Saccharomyces cerevisiae S288C: one gene and its partners. The gene in region 2 interacts genetically with the main gene of each other region. Each region holds a gene or a part of one and is shown on either strand. Other genes may lie near its edges.

What was found. A genetic interaction does not mean that the proteins touch.
Region 1: of SIS2 (region 2) and NHA1, extra expression of one rescues a mutant of the other (dosage rescue), as found in Saccharomyces cerevisiae (3 studies listed by BioGRID).
Region 3: mutations in SIS2 (region 2) and TAP42 together harm fitness more than expected from each alone (negative genetic interaction), as found in Saccharomyces cerevisiae (3 studies listed by BioGRID).

What each region holds. Positions count from the first base shown.
Region 1 is NC_001144.5:416,627-421,938, forward strand, and holds NHA1 (Nha1p), read left to right. Parts: upstream 1-1,810; coding exon 1,811-4,768; downstream 4,769-5,312. Other genes in the region: TIS11 (Tis11p), read right to left, coding at 1-32; RKM5 (S-adenosylmethionine-dependent methyltransferase), read left to right, coding at 380-1,483; SLS1 (Sls1p), read right to left, coding at 4,916-5,312. UniProt on the Saccharomyces cerevisiae protein: Sodium export from cell, takes up external protons in exchange for internal sodium ions. Also capable of exporting potassium ions.
Region 2 is NC_001143.9:575,908-579,837, reverse strand, and holds SIS2 (phosphopantothenoylcysteine decarboxylase complex subunit SIS2), read left to right. Parts: upstream 1-1,714; coding exon 1,715-3,403; downstream 3,404-3,930. Other genes in the region: YKR075C (uncharacterized protein), read left to right, coding at 1-11; AIM29 (Aim29p), read right to left, coding at 162-629; YKR073C (uncharacterized protein), read left to right, coding at 1,331-1,651; electron carrier DRE2, read left to right, coding at 3,858-3,930. UniProt on the Saccharomyces cerevisiae protein: Component of the phosphopantothenoylcysteine decarboxylase (PPCDC) involved in the coenzyme A synthesis. Acts as an inhibitory subunit of protein phosphatase PPZ1, which is involved in many cellular processes such as G1-S transition or salt tolerance.
Region 3 is NC_001145.3:325,886-329,126, forward strand, and holds TAP42 (Tap42p), read left to right. Parts: upstream 1-1,596; coding exon 1,597-2,697; downstream 2,698-3,241. Other genes in the region: YMR027W (putative methyltransferase), read left to right, coding at 1-1,404; FAR8 (Far8p), read right to left, coding at 2,775-3,241. UniProt on the Saccharomyces cerevisiae protein: Involved in negative regulation of the TOR signaling pathway in response to type of available nitrogen source. Inhibitor of PP2A phosphatase SIT4, which results in inhibition of nuclear export of MSN2, due to lack of dephosphorylation by SIT4.

The DNA of each region.
Region 1 (5,312 bases), on a different chromosome or scaffold from region 2:
TCTGGTCTAGTATATGATAATTGAGCCCACATATTGCGTTATTTTTTACGTATTGAGTTTGCAGCACTGTTTCGCTTTCTCTCAAGATGCACAAATACGACCTACCAAGAGCCTCCAAGTCCCACCAACGATTATGTCTTCTCTCAAATATATATACAAGTTACATGTAGAGAAATCGAGACGAGATTGCTGGCACAATGCACCCAACTGCATGTGCCATTGTGCATCTACACCTCCAAATTAGGGTGTCGATTGGCGTCGTCTTCTTTAATGTGGGTGCATTTTGCGGCGGCGCGACAAATATAGAGAACTGACCAAGGCAGTGCTGTCAAGAAGAGAGAATGGTTACGGCAGCGAAGACGCAAATGGGCTAGGCAGAATGGCATTCAAGTTATGGCTACTGGATGAGGAAACAATATACGAGCACGTGTTCGAACGGTACACACAATTGGAGGGCCAGTCCGGGAAACTGGCGCAGGATTTGGGTATTCAGGATAGAAGGGGCGGTGTGCTAGAGATAACGTTTGAACCCTCTGGGCTGGAAGGCGGCAGAAAAAAAAAGCGAGTGAGAAGAAGAAATAAGGCTAGTAGTGTTGAAGAAGATCAGAATGTTGCTGTGGATAGCTATCATGTTAGCGTGGGGCAGTCCATATCAAGCTTGCGCTCGTCCAGAGACAACGGAAACTCCACCACAGGATACGTTTTGTGGTCTACCACACCTTTCTTCATCAACTGGCTGCTGTATAGTACTAGCGCTGCACCTTTCCGTCTTGGGAGTCAGGTGGAAGTAACCTGCGGGTCTTCTTGCGAGGGGCACAAGCTTGAGTTGCCCAGGCTGGTCGACCTCACGGGCGCTGATCGCGGCAAGAGAGGTATCTTGGAACTTGGAGCAGGAATATCAGGTATTTTGCCCGTGATTCTTGGTAACTTCGTCGACACCTACGTGTCGACAGATCAGAAGGGCATTCTTAATAAATTAAAAGATAACATCATGGAAAACTTATCACAGTTGACCAGAAAGCGGTGCATTTCCCGATCACTAAGATTGGAACTTCCCACCGTCGAACCAGTTGGCGACGCTGATATCACCGCAGCGTCACTTCCATCTAAGTCTACGTTGCATTTGGAAGTAGCCGCTCTAGACTGGGAGAAGATAAACTTGCAAGACAAAAAGACCCACTCTCTGCATCCTGAGTTGTCACTCATAGGTGAAACATGTTCTTCCGTGTACGTTATAGCTATGGATGTCATATACAACGAGTACCTGATAGATCCGTTTCTGAAGACGCTCAAGCAACTCAAACACTGGTTACAAACTACCTACAATTTGCAATTCCATGTCCTCGTGGGGATACACTTGCGGTCACAAGAGGTGACAACACTGTTCTTGGAGAAAGCCATCATAGAATATGACTTCACGGTTTATGATATCGTTGACCAGGTCATACAAGAGTCCCGTTTTAACTTTTATCTTATCACCTAGTCCCATATATAATAATAGAAACAATATAATGCTGATAATCTTATTTTTCTTTGCGATGCGGCAGTGCCTCTTCCCCTCCGTACGGATTGGGAAGATTTTCATTTTTGATTAGCAAGGGCACTAAGCCAACTCTGTGTGATATAGCTAATAATCTAAAAGCTGCTGGATCCGTTATCGTCAAGATAAAGCGGACTTAGCGATTTACATAGGATCACACTTTCTACACACATTTGATTTTTAAGCTTCATTTTCCACTGCACTTATTTTTCCCAAGCATCGTGTTTTTTTGTACATTATAAAAAAAAATCCTGAACTTAGCTAGATATTATGGCTATCTGGGAGCAACTAGAAGTCTCAAAGGCGCACGTTGCTTATGCATGTGTTGGTGTCTTTTCATCTATCTTCTCTTTAGTGTCACTTTATGTCAAGGAGAAGCTTTATATTGGTGAGTCCACCGTAGCAGGTATATTTGGGCTAATTGTGGGTCCTGTTTGCTTGAACTGGTTTAATCCTCTGAAATGGGGGAATTCAGACAGTATAACATTAGAGATAACGAGAATAGTATTATGTTTGCAAATTTTTGCCGTTGCCGTGGAACTGCCACGGAAATATATGTTGAAGCATTGGGTATCTGTGACGATGCTATTATTGCCAGTGATGACAGCTGGATGGCTTATTATTGGTCTCTTCGTTTGGATTCTTATACCTGGCTTGAATTTTTCTGCTAGTTTGTTGATATCTGCGTGCATTACCGCAACAGATCCTATTCTGGCGCAGTCGGTCGTCTCCGGTAAGTTTGCCCAAAGAGTACCTGGTCACTTAAGAAATCTACTGTCTGCAGAGTCAGGCTGCAATGATGGTATGGCCTTTCCTTTTTTATTTCTTTCTATGAATTTAATCCTACATCCCGGTAATGGAAGAGAAATTGTCAAAGATTGGATTTGCGTTACTATCCTGTATGAGTGTTTGTTTGGATGCTTGCTAGGTTGCTTCATTGGTTATGTAGGCAGAATCACCATCAGGTTTGCCGAAAAGAAAAACATTATCGATCGTGAGTCGTTCTTAGCATTTTACGTTGTCCTGGCGTTCATGTGTGCTGGGTTCGGCTCCATTTTGGGTGTGGATGACCTATTGGTATCATTTGCAGCCGGTGCGACTTTCGCTTGGGATGGGTGGTTTTCTCAAAAGACACAAGAAAGTAATGTTTCTACCGTGATTGATTTGCTACTAAACTATGCGTATTTTATCTATTTTGGTGCCATTATACCTTGGAGTCAATTCAACAACGGTGAAATTGGCACAAACGTCTGGCGTTTAATTATACTTTCGATAGTGGTCATCTTTTTACGTAGGATCCCTGCAGTCATGATATTAAGACCTCTTATACCTGATATAAAATCGTGGCGTGAGGCACTTTTTGTGGGCCATTTTGGTCCTATTGGTGTAGGTGCAATTTTTGCCGCTATACTAGCTCGTGGAGAATTAGAGTCTACCTTTAGTGACGAACCCACTCCTTTAAATGTTGTACCATCAAAAGAGGAAAGTAAACATTGGCAGCTGATAGCCTGTATATGGCCAATAACTTGTTTTTTCATTGTTACTTCTATCATAGTTCATGGTTCTTCAGTTGCAATCATAACTCTAGGTCGTCATTTGAACACGATAACGTTAACCAAAACATTCACTACACACACCACCAATGGTGATAATGGGAAAAGTTCATGGATGCAAAGGTTGCCATCGTTGGATAAAGCTGGACGATCATTTTCATTGCATCGTATGGATACTCAAATGACTTTATCAGGGGATGAAGGTGAAGCAGAAGAAGGAGGAGGTCGTAAGGGACTAGCAGGAGGTGAAGATGAAGAAGGATTAAACAATGATCAAATTGGTAGCGTCGCAACGAGCGGAATTCCTGCAAGACCCGCTGGTGGTATGCCAAGGAGGAGGAAATTGTCAAGAAAAGAGAAAAGATTGAACAGAAGACAGAAACTGAGAAACAAAGGTAGAGAAATATTTTCATCAAGATCTAAAAATGAAATGTATGATGACGATGAGTTGAATGATCTGGGACGAGAAAGGTTGCAAAAAGAAAAGGAAGCACGCGCCGCCACATTTGCATTGAGCACAGCCGTCAATACACAACGTAATGAGGAGATTGGAATGGGTGGAGATGAAGAAGAAGATGAGTACACACCGGAAAAGGAATATAGCGATAATTACAATAACACACCAAGTTTTGAGTCGTCTGAAAGATCTTCATCTCTCCGAGGAAGAACTTACGTACCAAGAAACCGTTACGATGGAGAAGAGACAGAAAGCGAGATTGAAAGCGAAGACGAGATGGAAAATGAAAGTGAAAGATCAATGGCCAGTAGTGAAGAGAGGAGAATTCGAAAAATGAAAGAGGAAGAAATGAAACCTGGTACTGCTTATTTAGATGGTAATAGAATGATTATTGAAAATAAGCAAGGTGAAATCTTGAATCAAGTAGATATCGAGGATCGCAATGAGGCGAGAGATGACGAAGTTAGTGTTGATAGTACAGCCCATTCAAGTTTAACTACCACAATGACCAATCTATCCAGTAGTAGTGGGGGAAGGTTAAAGAGAATTTTAACTCCCACATCTTTAGGAAAGATACATTCATTGGTTGATAAAGGAAAGGATAAAAATAAAAACAGCAAGTATCATGCATTTAAAATAGACAATCTGTTAATCATCGAGAATGAGGACGGTGATGTTATAAAAAGATACAAGATAAATCCTCATAAATCTGATGATGATAAAAGTAAAAACCGCCCAAGAAACGATAGTGTTGTATCAAGAGCTTTAACAGCAGTAGGACTAAAGAGCAAAGCGAACAGCGGCGTACCGCCTCCAGTAGATGAAGAAAAAGCCATCGAAGGACCCTCCAGGAAGGGCCCAGGGATGTTAAAGAAAAGGACATTAACACCTGCGCCACCGAGAGGAGTTCAAGATTCCTTAGATCTGGAAGATGAACCTTCATCTGAGGAGGATTTAGGTGATAGTTATAACATGGACGATAGTGAAGATTACGACGATAATGCATATGAATCAGAAACTGAATTCGAAAGACAAAGAAGGTTAAATGCGTTAGGTGAGATGACGGCACCAGCGGATCAAGATGACGAAGAGTTGCCGCCCTTACCTGTGGAGGCACAAACAGGAAACGATGGTCCAGGTACAGCGGAAGGAAAAAAAAAGCAAAAGAGTGCTGCTGTTAAGTCGGCGCTATCAAAAACGCTTGGTCTCAATAAGTAATTTATTAATACACAAAGATATATTATTTTAGTATATATATAAACGAAATGCCTTTTTTATTTACATGTGTCGGAAATAGAGTAGATGCGGTAAAGAGGGGGAGGGGGGGGGGGTATGCGGTTTTGTCATTACTCTTTTCCGTTAAACTTAAAAGCTTAAAACATCATTGATAAAGGTTTTTAGTGAGGTTTCACTGGGGTTCACATTGATGAAATCTAATTGTCTGTAGGAGCCATTGTTCAAAAATCCGCGGCTGATATCTGAATATTGAATGATGTATTTATCATCTTGGGCAGTGTTCGTAGGAAATCGTAAATTCAAGACACGATGGGTCAAAACATCAGTCAATTGGTATTGCTGTATTAGGTTATCTGGTAAAGAAATGTTGATTTTTTTCATAAGATTCTGATATTTGTTTAACTTCCAGTGTGACTTGAGAAGAAATTCTTGGAGGCCTTTTTGTTCAGATAACCAAGCATCCGGATTGGTCTGGTCGAAATCAGGTAAAAGATCTTGAATGTAATCTGACGTGATCTTATAGTCT
Region 2 (3,930 bases):
TTGTTTTTTAAAGGAGAGTTTGCTCTCTTCTGCATTTCCACATACACATTTGATGTTAATTTACATACGAGTATACTCTCGTACACAACATATATATATATATATATGTAATATATTCATAGCACTTACTTATTAATGAAGGCCATAAGCCAAACAACATCTCACCATTTTTCTTCAGGGTTTTCTTTAAACCTTAGGTAATCCTCTTTGTTGAAAAGCGAAATTTCGGTTTCATTCTCAATGCCATACTCGAACAGCTTTTTTTTGTCATTCTCTATGTCTAAAGTCCAGTCGTCATCGTGGTCAAAATTGATCACGAGATTAACCGTCTTGGAACCATGTGCGTGCGTGTATATCTTTAAAGTATCAAACTTAACATTACGGAATGGTCTGAATGAACCTTCATTTTGAATTTTGTTCAAAACGTCATTGAACAGGTCCTTTGCAGTTTTATCAGCAAGATCGTAATCGTGCAGCACTATGTTCTTGACGTTTCTATATGGGAAAGATTTTATTACTCGGATTGTAATAACGGAGTTCTTTAGTGGTCTGGCATTTGAGGTTAATGGCTCTTCCAAGTCATAATCATGAAAGGTTGTTGACATTTTCAGCCTTTTAGTTGAATTCATGAAATAATGCAACCAAACAAGAAAAAATTTGGGGGAGGTAGTCTACGCATTTCAGTTCTAACTTCCTTCCTTTTCTTTCACTATTAATTGAAACTTATTTTCATTTTTTTTCTTTAGCATTGAACGCCGAATCTAAAAAAGTAAAGAACTCCTCATAGGGGGCTCGAACCCCTGACATTTCGGTATCCTTGCTTAAGCAAATGCGCTTAAAAGCCGAACGCTCTACCAACTGAGCTAACAAGGATGAGTTCTTCGGAGGGCTAACTCATATAAATAACTAATAAAGGCGAAATAGTGGTCACCACCATCACACTACACCCATATCAACGACAAGAGTTTAATTTGACCGTGGAAATTTATTACTGCTGATTTGGGTTCTATGATAAATCCTCGTAACGTAGAGACTATGTTTTTATATGCGCATTAAGTGCCGGAAAACGTGAGAAATAGGCTTTCCGGAGCATCAAACCTGAGGTTTCATAAATTGTGTTCGTGAAGGATGCATTCCAGAGGGCCATCCATCCAGCATAAAAAGAGATCTACAAAGCAATTATGTGGTTTCGCCATTATCCGTAGGATGACCTAAAAAATGGTAATGATTCACGTGATCTAGAAACTTTAACGTGTTATATCATTCAAGGCGTAACTTATACGCGCGGGGTACCCTATCATATCTAACACACGTACCCTGGGTTAATGCCATGATCGTCTTTGATGTATCTCTAATGATCATTATTATTTTTTCTTTTGCTTTTAACATGAGTCAAAGCAATATTCTTATGTTATATAACTCACCCCATGTGCTCGTGGGCAGTGACGCACGCAACTTTTTCTCTTGCAAAAAATGGCATCGATGCTTTTCTGGGGAGGTGATATTAGAGGAGAAGAAGTCACAGAGTGCTCTTGGATCACGATCCCTCACTTGTACTTGTCCACTTATCAGCGCCGTCCAGTTACATTTGGAGAGATCTTTTTTTAGCCTGGCCTTCTTTGCTGTCATACTACTTTATATTCCGGGATAAAATATAAAGAAATATTAGTTAGGAAAAAATTAATAGGGAAGAAAGATCTAGAAGCAAACAGCAATGACTGCCGTCGCCTCTACTAGCGGGAAGCAAGATGCTGACCATAACCAGTCTATAGAGTGTCCAAGGTTTTCGCGTGGACAGAAAGAGATTTTGTTGGACCATGAGGATGCGAAGGGGAAGGATTCAATAATCAACTCCCCCGTGTCAGGGAGGCAATCAATAAGCCCTACTTTGTCGAATGCTACTACCACGACTACGAAATCTATTATGAATGCCACCGGCACCTCCGGCGCAGTAGTAAGTAATACTCCGGAGCCTGGTTTGAAGAGAGTCCCCGCCGTCACTTTCAGTGATCTAAAGCAACAGCAAAAGCAGGATAGTCTGACTCAGCTGAAGAACGACTCAGAAAGGACCAAGTCTCCAAATAGTAATCCTGCTCCTGTCTCAAATTCCATTCCTGGCAATCATGCAGTTATACCGAACCACACCAACACTTCAAGAACAACGCAATTATCTGGGTCTCCACTCGTCAACGAAATGAAAGATTATGATCCTAAGAAAAAAGACAGTGCTCTTAAAATAGTTGATACCATGAAGCCTGACAAAATCATGGCCACTTCAACGCCAATAAGTAGAGAAAATAATAAGGTAACCGCCAAAGCCCCCACCAGTATTACACTTCGAAAGGAAGATGCACAAGATCAAGCTAACAATGTTTCAGGCCAAATTAATGTGCGTTCTACCCCGGAAGAAACGCCAGTGAAGCAGTCCGTCATTCCTTCCATCATCCCCAAAAGAGAGAACTCCAAGAATTTGGATCCCAGACTACCTCAAGATGATGGAAAATTGCACGTGTTGTTTGGCGCTACAGGTTCGTTATCGGTATTTAAGATCAAGCCAATGATTAAAAAACTAGAAGAAATATATGGACGTGATAGAATAAGCATTCAAGTTATCCTCACTCAATCAGCAACACAGTTTTTCGAACAAAGATATACCAAGAAAATTATCAAATCTTCAGAAAAACTAAATAAAATGTCGCAGTACGAATCCACTCCGGCAACTCCAGTGACACCAACACCAGGACAATGCAACATGGCTCAAGTAGTCGAGTTACCCCCACATATTCAACTATGGACCGACCAAGATGAATGGGACGCATGGAAACAACGAACTGATCCTGTACTTCATATAGAACTACGTCGCTGGGCGGATATACTGGTAGTAGCTCCATTAACTGCAAACACATTATCAAAAATTGCTTTGGGCCTGTGCGACAATCTTCTGACAAGTGTCATTAGAGCTTGGAATCCGAGTTATCCCATTCTTTTGGCACCTTCTATGGTGAGTAGCACTTTTAATTCTATGATGACAAAGAAGCAACTACAAACGATAAAGGAGGAAATGTCCTGGGTCACTGTTTTCAAGCCGTCTGAGAAAGTTATGGATATAAATGGTGATATTGGTCTCGGGGGTATGATGGACTGGAATGAGATTGTTAACAAAATCGTTATGAAATTGGGTGGGTACCCAAAAAATAACGAGGAAGAGGACGATGATGAGGATGAGGAAGAAGACGACGACGAAGAAGAAGATACAGAAGATAAGAACGAAAACAACAACGATGATGATGACGATGACGACGATGACGACGACGACGACGACGACGACGACGACGACGACGACGATGATGACGAGGACGAGGACGAAGCAGAAACCCCAGGTATAATAGATAAGCATCAATAAATAGTCTATGAATTACAAATACACTAAACACATTCTACTTATTTGTGTTTTGTAATTTCTGGAAAAATACTCATTAGGCAAATTCACGCAGCATATTTACAAAATGTCACAAATTTTTTTCCTTTTTTACTTGCAGTAGGTATGTAATGCCATACTAGCGTACATAGAGCTCTTCATATAAACCGCTATTTATTACTAATTTTAATAATTCAGTAATTCATTAAATACATTCATTACTTTCTGGGTAAATATCTATTCGTTTCTCATTTTTCTTTTTTTGACATATCCCGGTACCGGAATAAGTCCGATACTATTCAAAAGCTTCTGGAAAAAAAAAATAAAAAAAAGAAATGATTAGTAATCATTTAATTTCATGACATATTAAAAAGGTATTCTAAGCAGAAGTCTTTCATCACATTTGATCTAAGCATATACACTGTAAGTGAAGGTATCGATGTCACAATACAAAACTGGTTTACTTTTAATACATCCGGCGGTGACTACAACGCCAGAGCTAGTAGAGAACA
Region 3 (3,241 bases), on a different chromosome or scaffold from region 2:
CCTGGAAGATTTATGACAATTGATAAGGGCACTTTTGGTGAATACACTGCTAGCACCCGTTGGCCCATTATCATTCAGAATGCTATAGACGATTTAAGTAAGCATCAAGAAACGGAGAAGAGTAACGGCACTAAGTTCGAACAAGGTGAAGTTATCAAAAAGGAGCTCAAGGAATTCCGTCAGGAGATAATTGATCGTGTACCTTTGAGACCCTTTACTGAAGAAGAGATCAAAATTGCCAACGTCCCGCTTTCGTTCAATGAATATCTAAAGAAACACCCTGAAGTCAATTGGGGGGCTGTAGAGTGGCTGTTCTCGGAGGTTTACTTGTATAGAAGAGTAAATGTTCTTTTCCAACGCCAATGCGAATGGGCTAAATTTGACATATTCAACAGACTTAAACAGTCAACTTTTGAGTCCTCGTTTTATGGTGTCGTGGAATTGGCGTTAAGGTATGAAAATCTGTTACCACAGCTGAGAGAAATGAAGCAAAATCCAGGAAATGAGATTGACGATATATTGAAAGTTCTTTTTAAAGAGTTTATTGAGATTTCTTTGTGGGGCAATGCCACTGATTTATCTTTATTGACCAACGCTACGTTAGAAGACATTAAATCAATCCAAGGGGCGAAAGCAAGAGCTGCATCCGAGTCCAAGATTGTTGTTAATGACACGGAGAAAGCATGGGAGGTATTAACCAAAGCCAGGGCCGATGCCAATAGCAGAGAAATTCGTGTTGATTTTGTATTAGACAATTCTGGCTTTGAATTGTATGCTGACTTGATGTTGGCAGCTTTTCTGTTACAAAGTGGTTTGGCTACCAAATGTATTTTCCACGCTAAAGACATTCCATACATGGTTAGCGATGTTATGTTAAAAGATTTTGATATATTAGTTCATGACCTGAGAGATCGTGAGTTCTTCCCAAGTGGTGAACCCTCGACAAAGGAATCCAGAGCTCTTGATTTATTTGCTGGTGAAATGGAAAAGTTCGTCTCTAGCGGTAAGATAGAATTCCGCGAAGATTCTTTCTGGACCACGGAATTAGATTATTGGAATTTGGACGCAAACGAAACCAAATACCATGGATCCATTTTGCACAAAGATTTGCAAAAATCCAATTTGGTTATTTTTAAGGGTGATCTAAACTATAGAAAATTAACTGGCGACAGAAAATGGCCCCGCACCACTAAATGGGAAACGGCTATCGGACCTCTTGCTACGAATGGTATTACATCATTGAGCTTGAGAACCTGTAAAGCCGATGTACAAGTTGCTTTACCTGAAGGTCTAGACGCGAAATTAAGTCAAGAATGGGAAAAGGAAAATCCTGGCCGTGGTTCTTGGTGGTGTTGTAGCGGTAAATGGGCAGTCATTTGTTTCTGCTCTGGTATACATAAATAAGAATATGATAAGTTCTCTATATAACTTTACTTTATGACTTTCCCTATGAAATGTTCCAAAAAAGCACATAGATTTTTAGTACGTGCCTTTTATTTTATGTACTTCTGATAAAAAAAAGAAAGCTCCTAAGGACAAATTACAATCAATGGCGAAAGAAGAGGAAGAAAGTAATAACGAGGAGAGATCATAAACATGGCGTCAGTAACAGAACAATTCAACGATATTATTAGCTTATACTCAACAAAATTGGAACACACATCTTTGAGGCAAGATTCACCAGAGTACCAGGGATTATTACTTTCCACGATCAAGAAATTATTAAACTTAAAAACAGCAATTTTTGACAGGTTGGCATTGTTCAGTACTAATGAGACCATTGATGATGTGTCTACTGCTTCCATCAAATTTCTAGCAGTTGATTACTATTTAGGATTATTGATATCAAGACGACAGTCGAATGATTCGGATGTTGCTCAAAGGCAGTCTATGAAATTGATTTACCTGAAAAAAAGCGTTGAATCTTTCATTAATTTCCTGACACTATTGCAGGATTATAAGCTTCTAGATCCTTTGGTTGGTGAAAAACTAGGTAACTTCAAGGATCGTTATAACCCTCAGCTTAGCGAATTGTACGCGCAACCAAAAAATAACAAAGATTTATCTGGAGCACAGTTGAAGAGAAAAGAAAAGATTGAGCTATTCCAGCGCAATAAAGAAATTAGCACAAAACTGCACTGCTTGGAGTTGGAATTAAAAAACAACGACGAGGACCACGACCATGATGAATTACTAAGAGAACTATATTTGATGAGGTTACATCACTTTAGTCTTGATACGATTAACAACATTGAACAGAATTTATTTGAATGTGAAATGCTCTCTAATTTCCTCAAAAATTCCGTACATGAAGTCAAATCATCAGGTACTCAGATACGAAAAGAATCGAATGATGATGATTCCACTGGTTTTACCGATAAATTAGAGAATATAAATAAGCCATTGATAGACAAAAAAGGTCAAGTCTTGAGGAACTTCACGCTTGTCGACAAAAGGCAACAACTGCAACAAAAAGTGCGAGGATATGGTCAATATGGACCAACAATGTCGGTGGAGGAATTTTTAGATAAAGAGTTTGAAGAAGGTCGCGTTCTTCAAGGTGGCGAAGAACCAGAGCAAGCACCAGATGAAGAAAACATGGACTGGCAAGATAGAGAAACCTATAAAGCTCGTGAGTGGGACGAGTTCAAGGAAAGTCATGCTAAGGGAAGCGGAAATACCATGAATAGAGGATAGAAAAAAATACCTATATACGTACACATAAGTATCTATTAGACAGATTCATATATTATTTTTTTTTCTGCCTACATCAGTTATATTTTAATCTTGTGCAAAAGGACTTCGTTATTTTTATTCACGGTGATTAACACCGGCGTAGAATCTACAATCAGATTTGAAGAAAATACCACAGGCTCTTTTCTTTCCGAGAAGTTGATGTCTGCTACGACAAATTCGTCGATGGATGGTTTTAGGTTTTCTAAATTCCTAAACTCAAAGTCTCCATTACTATATGATACGGTGATTATGCTGTCGTTCAAATCGAGTTGTATTGGTAGTGTTGACGATGGAGTCAATTGTTCCTTCAGTACAACTTTTTTCTTATCAAAAGAATAAACCAATAATCTCTCATTGCTTAGCTGAATCAGTAGCTTAGAAGTTTTTCTATCCAAAAATAAATGGTAACCTTCTTCTTCTGGCTTACCCGATAATATTGTATCAATCTTCAAATCAATTTTTTGTAGAAGCTTACCCTCGAAATCATATATGGTAAGCTGGTATG